Nothobranchius furzeri: one gene and its partner. The protein of the gene in region 2 purifies or fractionates together with the protein of the main gene of each other region. This does not show direct contact. Links are inferred from orthologs where the notes say so. Each region holds a gene or a part of one and is shown on either strand. Other genes may lie near its edges.

Region 1 (5,080 bases), on a different chromosome or scaffold from region 2:
ACACGTCGGCCCTAAAAATGTGCTAAAAATAGCAGTTTTTACTCAACACGTCAGACTTTTTTGTCTTCTCTTGCCTGTTGTCCTTCGGGAGTGCTGCAGGAGGACACACAGGGATTTATGGGGGTTGGATGAGGAAAACGAAATAAAGAAAGTAAATCTGTGTTTTGTGATCAGTTTAATTTGACATGAACACGACAAACACGCTTTCTTGACAATCTTTGTGAGTAAAAGAAATGTGTAGAAATAAAAACGAACAGCGTGTGTTATTAAGGAAATAGCAGGCGAGCGGCGTTGATGCAGGATTGCGCATGCACCGTGAGCGGTTCTGATACTTTTTGGGTCGCAGCTGCTCGCTGTGCCGCTTCAACAGTGCGATACCCTCACGAGGGACGAGCAAAATTTTAAACACGCCAGAAGTCCGTGCGACCTCACGACTGCTGATCGGCAGCTGGTCACGTGGTGTTAATCGCCTCTCGTAACCCCCCGTACACGACCGCTCGGCGCTAAACTCGCCCCGATGTCGTGGATTCTCGCACGACTGGAAAATCGGCTCAAAAAAGTGAAAAAGTTGCATAGTGTACACCCGGCTTAATGGGGGTTTCACATCTGGTACCGATCGGCCCGGCCTGCATTGAACATATTGTTTTCATCCCTGGGTGATCTGGTACTTGCCCCCTCCTACCAGGCGGGTTTTTGGCCCTTAACCTCTGGTGGTCTGCTCAGGGCTGGGCCAGGCCAACATGCCCACTACGACTGACTGGCCGGCTCAAATACCAACCTGCCGTTAGAGGGAGCTTCTGATTGGTGGATAGAATCAACCAACAGTGTGAATAAACCCTACTGGTGTGGGACCGGACCGACGCTACCCAGCCCGGTCCGTGCTAGCCCAGATGCGAAACGCCTAATGGAGACAGTTTTTTTCCCAACAGTAGTTTCTTCATCTCTTTCCTTTGGGCAGCTGATGCAGACGATGGGAGTGTAGCATGAATACGCAGCTCAGAGTGACCAATCGTGAATCGAATAGAACCATTATTGCTGTTGGAGCTATATTTCTGCAGCTGTCACCTCGCTAGACTGTTCCATACATACTTTATTATTATAACTGGTTAATTATTCTACAGAATGAATAAAAAGGTGTTAGGCTCATGTGCTATGGTGGTGGAATTCTGTTAGGGTTAGGGTTACACGTGTCTAGTTTCTCTGGACATTTTCCTGTTAATATTCATGAGGTAACGCTCATCCTGGCTTCACTGATGCTGCTGATTCCAATCGTGTGATCTGACAGTCAGAGCAGATCAGAGCTCTTGTTGTCAGATTAATATCATCTTGGCTGATGAAACATTTCTAGTGAGTGCAAATGATCCTGTTCAGTCTCTGTTGTGTTCCAGCCACCTGGAGACAGTCAGGGACAGGGGACACCTCCGTGTGTGTGTGTGTGTGTGTGTGTGTGTGTGTGTGTGTGTGTGTGTGTGTGTGTGTGTGTGTGTGTGTGTGTGTGTGTGTGTGTGTGTGTGTGTGTGTGTGTGTGTGTGTGTGTGTGTGTGTAAACATGAATGTACACTGTTCTGTGTTCATGTAAACACACACTGATCTGCTATGAAACCGTCTCATCCAATCACCTCTCAGACGGATGAGCTAAGCTGGACTCACCTGTTCAGGTGGGACCTTCCTTGTTCTGCTCTTCCTACCCATTTCTCGATGGCTAAAACTCAAACAAAAGTATTTCCCGCCGTTACCAAACGCGCCCTTTGCGTAACTTCCGCCCGCAGCACCGAACCAATGAGGTTGCGAAAAGTGTTGCGTTGACCAATCCAAGAGCAGCAGCGGATGACGCAGCTGGTAAAGAAGACGTTTTGGCGCTAGTTTGGACTCGGTTACCGGTAGAGAAGCCCGTCCTCGAGAGGAGCTGACCGAGCGCAGGTGAGCGTTGATCCGGGTTGGTTCGGGTTAACCTGACCGGGTTACCAACCCCTCCTTTACTCTGAGAGTCCTGCAAGGCGAGCTAACGCTAAAGCTGCTAGGATGCCTAGCACCCGCTCCCAGGCTCGAGCTCAGCCCACGCTGACGTTCCCACGACGCAAGTCCTGCCGAGCGCCTTTAAAACCCCCCAAACCTCCAGGGTCTGCGTCCCAGGACGTCCTTCCGCCTCCAAGCCCACCCAGGCCCGTGTCTCCGAGGCAGTCTCCCGCCCTGCAGCCCCGACTCCCCCTGAGCCCGCGCAAACGCACAGGTGAGTCTGCAGCGCTGGTCAGGAGTTGTCTCCATGAAGGTGTTGACTTGTGTTTATCTCTGTAAAGGTGATGAGAACGGCTGCAACCTCCACACCCTGCAGGCGTCCCCTCCCAAACAGAAAAAGACGTCTCTGTCCTCCCAGAGGAAGCTAGGTTTCAATGAGAACTCTCCAGTCGTGGTCCATCAAACATCAGACCCATCTTCTGAAAAACCACGCTGTCCAACCACCACTTCGTCCACTAGGAGACCAGAAACGCCCACCGGAAGTCCCTTGCGTGGCACTGGAGGAAAGAAGACCCCAGTCACTCAGCTGTTTGCAGAAAGTAAGATGGTTTCAGCAAGTTACGAGTTTCTTAGGAACCAAAGTGCTACAATCATTGTTTTTCTCCTCAGAGTCCAAGTTCCAGAGCGTGAAGCAGGTGCTCCACACATCCATCCCTGAACACATCTTGTCCAGAGAGGCGGAGCAGACGTCCATCCGCTCCTTCCTGCAGGAGACGGTCCTGCAGCGCCGTCCTGGAAGCCTCTATATTTCAGGAGCTCCTGGGACTGGCAAGACGGCCTGCCTGAGCTGTGTCCTGAAGGACATGAAGGTGAGCTGGACATGCTTTAGCGCTGTCTGCAGTAGGGCTACTCCATCATGGCTTTATCAGGGCGATCAGAAGAAGATCAGAACAACTCCTGGTTCCTCGTGTAACAGAGCCAGTAGGCTGAGCTTTAACCCTAACCCAATTCTGATGGCAAGAGTCTAAACATGCATGTTGTAGTGAACTTCCATAACCTGCTGCGGTACTGAGTCCTGTCCAGCGGCGCTGTGGGAGAGTGCAGCACTAGTCTGTTGCTCTGAGATGAATCAGCGTTAGAAACGTATTCCTAAACCATTTATTTCCAGGTTCCATCAGTCCATGTAGTAGATGTCCCACCCTGCAGAGGTGCACTGCAGCACACACACTACAATCAGGAGTGTGTGTGTGTGTGTGTGTGTGTGTTGCACGGGCACATTTAGCCGTTTCACCAGGAGCCTGCGGGGACAGGAGTCTCTGAGAGCCGTCTCTACGTTGTTCCCTTTCCTAATGTCCAGAAGGACGGTCCTGAGTGCAGGCTGTGACCTGCAGGTATCCAGGAATGTTCCTAGGTGGTTTCTGGGTAGCTTAGAGAAGAAAGTGGAGGAATGGTCTGAAAGGTTGTTAGAAACGGCCACAAAGCTGCTAAAATTTGGCAACGCTGCTGGGAGGTGCGCTTGATTTGCAACTCGGAGTAAACCATGAGAGAGGAGCAAATCATCGGCTCGTTTTGTTGTTCCAATGGTTCAAAACTCTGATAGTAATTGTGATTAAAATGTGATTTATTGAGCAGCCCTGTCTACACAGATGTCGTCATCTCCTCACCTAGCTGTTGTTGTCCCATCAGGCTGAGCTGTCGTCGGTTCTGACGGTTCTGGTGAACTGTATGAGTCTGCGAAGCGCCCACTCCATCTTCCCTCTGCTGGCTGACAAACTGAAAGTGCTCAGCGGCCAGAGGGGTCTGCAGAAGTTCTTCACATCGTCGGGGCCTGCTGTGTGAGTGACCTTCATGCTGCCTGGTTTTCATGGACCTGACTTGCTCGTCTAGGAATGGGCAGTGTCAGACATTCTTCATAAATGTTCATATTATTTCAAACAAAATACTGAACGACCCGCAGAGACGGTGTTCTGAAACATAAGCTTGTGTGTTATGAGGGTTAGGGTTATGAGGGGTACAAGGACTCACGTCATCCATCTATCAGCAGTAACAGCTACACGTCACAAATGTCTTCAGGAACCTTTAGTTCTAATTCGTGTAAACTCGATGGTTCATGTTGTACAAGAATCAATACACTTTATGCATTTAATCTGCTGATGAATTTATGTACAATTTCTCAAGGCAGCTCTGGGAGTTGACTTGAATGAAAAGTATAGATGTAAGTTTTGGCCCATATGGCCCAGCCCTAGGCTCATGCGTGTGTCTTCTCTTCTAAGGCTTCTGGTTTTGGATGAAATGGACCAGCTGGACAGCAAGGCTCAGGACGTCCTCTACACCCTTTTTGAGTGGCCACACCTGCCCAGTTCTCGTCTCTGTCTCATTGGTAAGAGTTCGTCCCGCACGGTGTCTCGGCTGCTCTGTAGTAATGACGGTATTATTGGTTTACGGTAGAAAGTACACAAATGCAGTCACTGGTAGGGATTCTGACTACACAGGCAACGGCTGCTGGGGTGGTGCTTTAAGACAAGTTAACATTGGGTTAGGGCTGCTCAATGAATCGAATTTTAATCACGATTACGATCTGAGTTTTGAACGATTATAAAAACAAAACAAGCTGATTATTTGCTCCTCCCACCTACGCTGCTTGAGTTGCAAATGAAGCGCTCCTCCACAGTGTTGCCAACTTAGCGACTTTGTCGCTATTTCTAGCAGCTTCAGACCCCCTTCTTGACTTTTTAAATCTAAAAGTACCTAGCGAACATCTCAGAAACATCTCTCGTAACCCTTAGCTACTTTCTGGATAACTGTCGTCGACGTTTCCTGCAGGTTAGCTAAACACTCTGCCTGCGCTCCGGACCGTTCTTCAGGACATTAGGAAAGGGAATGATGTAGTGATGTGTCGGTCACTAAAGAAACGGCTCTCAGAGCCGGCTCCCTGTTGGAGTAACCAGAGTGAGTGACACACACACCGTACCTGCAGGCTCCTGAGCCGCTAAAAATGGCTAAATGTGCGCGTGCGGCGCGCTAAACACACATGCAGCTTGCCCCTGATTGCTGTGAGACCGGGTTGGGGGGTGGGGGTGCAGCTGTGGTTGGGACAATTATTACATTAACTGATGGACTTGTA
Region 2 (4,809 bases):
CAGGAATAACAAAGTATAGACGGGGCACACACAGGGCGACAGTGGCACAGAAGTGCTCACCCTGTAATCGGAAGGTTGCAGGTTTGAGCCCTGCTTAGTCCATCGCTGTGTCCTTGGGCAAGACATTTAACCCACCTTGCCTGCTGGTGGTGGTCGGAGGGACCGGTGGTGCCTGTGTATGGCACTCGCCTGTGTCTGTGCCCCAGGGCAGCTTTGGCTTCACACCAGCAGCGTGTGAATGGGTGAATGACTGATTGTGTTGTAAAGTGCCTTGGGGGGGACTCTAGAAGGTGCTATATCAAATACAGACCATTTACCTTGTGATGTTCACTAGGTCACAGATGCCTAATGTGAGGCCCACCAAGCAAGGAACAGCCTCTTCCTCCCAGTCTGCACCCCCTCACGAGCAGGAGGATCTGAATTCCCACCTCACCATGTAAGACTGGTCTAGAACTAAAGGGAAGATGGTTTTTGTGAATAACGTTTTAACTCTTAAACAAGCTAATTAATCTGTTTGCCACTTAGGCTTTCTCTGATAGAGGATGACATTTCAGAAGAAGAGGAGCCTGAGATTGAAGATTATGAAAGTGACCTGGAGTCTGGATACACACTGGTAAAACAGCAATACTGATAGATCTTAGCTTTAGTAATTTAGGATTGATTTGGATAAAGGAAAACTTTGAAGATCTGAGTTCAATTGGGATTTGTGGAGTTATAATACAGTCTGAAGACTTGATTTAAAACTATGTGAATAAAATAATTGTATTCCTGGTAAGATTAAACAGTCAGTCTCTCCATTTTCCCCCTAAAGCCCTCAACACGCCACACCTCTGCCAGTTTCCTGGATGAGCTCTTTGAGTGATGTACTGGAACGCTTCCACCATTTTCAGATGCCATTTTTATGTTATCAGTGTTTGAAGTATTTGCATGAATTGAAATCTCAGCCACCTGTTCATCCCTGTGACTACATCTTTATCTTCATGTTATCTGACTTGCTGCAGTTTGCCATTAAATGATTGAATTGTTAATGTTCTGATGAAAAGCAAAAACTGATATTAAAAATGTTTAGTACAGTTATCCGAATGAAAGCTAAAGCTACCTATTTTGAACACATTTTTGCTTTGTTGATGTGTTTTTTATATAATTGTTCATAAAAAGTGAAGTATTATCGGTTCGAAGTCTGTAATAAAATGGAAAAGCGAGTTAGTGGTGACAATTCATTCCAAAATTGATCATCATTTTACTCCGTTTTTGAGACACTTTTGATGAGTGTTTCAAAGCAGCCTGTGTCTGCATGCACTCTGCTGTTAACGTGTTGAGTTGTTTGTGTGTAACATACAATAAATAACACCCATTGTGATGAGTTGTGTTGTCTTTAGAACATTTCGCGCCATTAGTGGAAAACCCCGGCGGAAGTTTTCATAACCATGTGACACGCAGCTTCCTGCGATTTTCGCGCCACCAAAACGTCCCGCCCATACTTCGTGAAAGATGCGACGTGATTTGCTGCTGGCCGAGGAGAGTGGCGCCAGTTTCTACTCTTGAGACCGGGAGAAGTTCTGGCTGCATGTGAATGAATTCAAGTCTCCGGTGCAAGAAATTTGCTAAACTCTTAAGTAAAAACCTCGTTTAGGTACGTGGGCACCTCAAGATCTCGTTTTCAAGTTATTCGCCTGAACATCAACGTGTGCTGCCATGGCTCGTAAAGATTATCTGGCAGAGAAAGGTAAATAGTTGTCTGTGTGTGTCAGTAACAGCATGGGTGGTAGCAACAGGTTGGACTGAAAGTCTTAATAAATGTTACCTATATGAAGTATGTGTCTTTCAGAGTTGAATTACATGTTCATGTCCTGTTTCAGTAGTTTACGTCACTAGCGTTTTTAAATATTGCCATTTGAGTTAGATAGAAAATTACCATTTTAAATATGTGTACGAATATGCGTCATTTAGCAGCGATGTAATGGAAGTACTAGTTAAGTATTTCACAGTGAGTTTGTTAACGTTGGGTCGTCGGTAACCAGTTTAGCGTTGTCTGCTCTTTACTACCCGGTGACCCGGATGGATCCTTAAACAAAGGAAACAGGCGCCACTGTGCAAGCACATCCGGGAACGCGCACACTATCAAGACGTGTAGAGTACATAAGTAGTCAAGGAACGAGTGCAGACAGTCGGACCTTTCAAAAACTACTTTTGCAAAGTTATACTCTATGCTGTCGACGTGTGTCGGTGTAAAATAAAATGATTTAGTTTAGGGGTAATCTATGTGGTCGGGAAGTAAAGGAAAATCCTTCACCCAACTATGTTGTACTTTTTGTCAAGTGTCCGTTAACGCACCGTCTGGGCTATATTTTGATTTTACAGGGTTGAACAGTGCTGTTAGCTTTTTCGTTACTAGCTAAAATGAATTTTAATACTGATATTTGCTTCCAGCTTATTCGTTTTCAGCATAAACGATTATAGCTTTGGTTTATGTTGATCACTCACATGGGTTTGGAAGGGCTCTGTAGCAATATGTGGTGTATTAATGAATCGTATACACGCGTAGTTCCTGAACGTAGTCGTGTTCCGAGTCTAATTCAGCGAACGCACTAACCAGCAGCAATTTCTTAGTCGTCATAAACGTCTCGTGGTAAGCATTAAGCAAACCTCCTCTCGCCGCTTAGTGATTCTGTCATCAGGACATTAGAAAAGGCAGCGCAGCTGCTGCGTTCACAACTCTAAGCTAACCTGGGCTAATGTTAAAAAATGGCTGGCCACGGTTTGAAAACAACAACCGGGACTGGTTCTAGGAGCGGAGGAATCGCGGAGGGATATCTCCAGTGACTGGGCACAAAAGCCATGTGCTGCTTTGTTTACAATAACATCCTCGAACATGGAAATAACCCCACGACGCAGCAAATTTCCTCTACGGCGGTAAAGTAAGTGGAATATTAAGTTCAGTTCGAAGGCTTGTTCCGTCGCCCGTGGCGCCTAGTTAAATATCGTTGGTAGTTGTGGCTCCTTCGAGAAGTGAGGGGGGATATTTACCAGAGGAAGGGGAAAAAAGGACCGAACTGAGCGCGCCTGTTGTGTTTACGTTCCCACCCCGGGGCCATACGCTGCGTAGTACTTGTTATTTCACTCTAAAACTAGGAGACGAGACTCACATGAGCGACATTCGCTCCATGTTGAGCCCCAGTGACAGTTTATGTTGAACTGTAGCAATAGTGACTCATCGAGATTACAGGATGCCGTGTTACTCAACAAAGGGGGGCTCGTCGTAGGACAACAAACTAGCTCCCAGTGTGCAGGCCCTCTGCTGTTGGGTTTAATACTGCTATTTTAGGAAAGGGACATATGTGAACGTGGCCTTTTTATTTAGTCTTGTAAAGTGGAGCTGTTGTGTTTTTGTTTTCAGAGAAGTGCAAAAGGTTTCTGCAGGAGTTTTACACGGAGGATGACGATGGGAAGAAGGTGTTCAAATATGGAGTGCAACTTGTGAGTATAGTGAATGCTTTTTACGGAAAGAGGTTTTGTGATGTAATTCTGTTTATCTTCCTGCTTTGACAACTAGTTTGTGTTTTGTAACTAGGTTGTTTCTTTTTTGTCTCGTCGTTCTATATCGTAGTCATTTGTTGTTGTTTTTTTGTTTTTTTTTCTCACAAAAGCACATGTGTAATTGTTTTCTGAAGCTTGACTAATTATTTGTTTTGTGTGTTCAGGTGCAGCTGGCCCACCGGGAGAAGGTGTCCCTGGTTGTTGAGCTGGAAGATGTGGCTGAGGAAGACCCAGATCTGGTTGAGAGTATCTGTGAGAATGCAAAACGCTACACAAACCTGTTTGCTGACGCCATACACGAGCTGCTGCCAGAATACAAGGAAAGAGATGTATGTAGATCTTAGTTTTGAGTACATTTTTTAAATCCGCTTCCAGTGCATTTCAGATTTTTTATCTGAAGGAATTCTAAAAAGATACATTTTGTGCTTAGATTGTGGCCAAAGATTCCCTGGACGTGTACATTGAGCACAGGCTGATGATGGAGCAAAGGGGTCGTGATCCGGCCGACACCAGAGATCCACATAACCAGTACCCACCTGAGCTCATGAGGAGATTGTGAGTAGAACCAGATTCGTAATTTTCCTTGTGTGTTGGGGCTTTTTTCACTATAGTGGCTTGTTTCTGCAGTGAGCTCTACTTCAAGTCTTCCAGCACCTCAAAACCCAAAGTGGTGCGTGATATCCGGGCTGACAGCATTGGCCATCTGGTCACAGTCCGAGGCATCGTGACCCGCGCCACCGAGGTCAAACCGATGATGGCTGTAGCTACGTACACGTGTGACCAGTGTGGTGCTGAAACCTACCAACCAGTAAGATCTGGTAAAACCACTCAAGTTTTGATGTAAGATTATTATCCTCATGATGTCCTCCTCATGCACCCACCAGATCCAGTCCCCCACCTTTATGCCTCTGGTCATGTGTCCCAGTCAAGAGTGTGTCACCAACAAATCTGGAGGACGACTCTACCTGCAGACCAGAGGGTCCAAGTTTGTGAAGTTCCAGGAGCTACGGATTCAGGAGCACGTGAGGGACCTTTCTTTTGGTGTTGTCTTTGTTGTAGAGTACTCGTTTCTTTATTTGTTTTCTCTGATCTTCTGCAGAGTGACCAGGTGCCTGTTGGTAATATTCCAAGGAGCATGACTGTGTATGCTCGTGGTGAAAACACACGTCTGGCTCAGCCCGGAGACCACGTAGCCATCGTGGGAATCTTCCTCCCTTTGCTTCGTACCGGCTTCAGCCAGGCTGTGCAGGTAATTTGTGTTTCAGCTGCCTT

The links. Proteins that work in one complex are often made in the same cells at the same time.
Region 1: the proteins of mcm7 (region 2) and cdc6 purify together in Homo sapiens (affinity purification with western blotting; 3 studies listed by BioGRID). This does not show direct contact. The link is inferred for Nothobranchius furzeri from reciprocal best matches to the Homo sapiens genes MCM7 and CDC6.

What each region holds. Positions count from the first base shown.
Region 1 is NC_091747.1:65,968,654-65,973,733, reverse strand, and holds the start of cdc6 (cell division control protein 6 homolog), read left to right. Parts: upstream 1-1,871; 5' UTR 1,872-2,022; coding exon 2,023-2,230; intron 2,231-2,297; coding exon 2,298-2,555; intron 2,556-2,625; coding exon 2,626-2,825; intron 2,826-3,642; coding exon 3,643-3,791; intron 3,792-4,229; coding exon 4,230-4,336; intron 4,337-5,080. UniProt on the Homo sapiens protein: Involved in the initiation of DNA replication. Also participates in checkpoint controls that ensure DNA replication is completed before mitosis is initiated.
Region 2 is NC_091741.1:79,972,210-79,977,018, forward strand, and holds the start of mcm7 (DNA replication licensing factor MCM7), read left to right. Parts: upstream 1-1,584; 5' UTR 1,585-1,695; coding exon 1,696-1,726; intron 1,727-2,125; exon of another isoform or gene 2,126-2,918; intron 2,919-3,397; coding exon 3,398-3,477; intron 3,478-3,701; coding exon 3,702-3,866; intron 3,867-3,967; coding exon 3,968-4,092; intron 4,093-4,164; coding exon 4,165-4,345; intron 4,346-4,421; coding exon 4,422-4,559; intron 4,560-4,636; coding exon 4,637-4,786; intron 4,787-4,809. Other genes in the region: cohesin subunit SA-1, read left to right, coding at 335-436, 526-613, 812-862. UniProt on the Homo sapiens protein: Acts as a component of the MCM2-7 complex (MCM complex) which is the replicative helicase essential for 'once per cell cycle' DNA replication initiation and elongation in eukaryotic cells.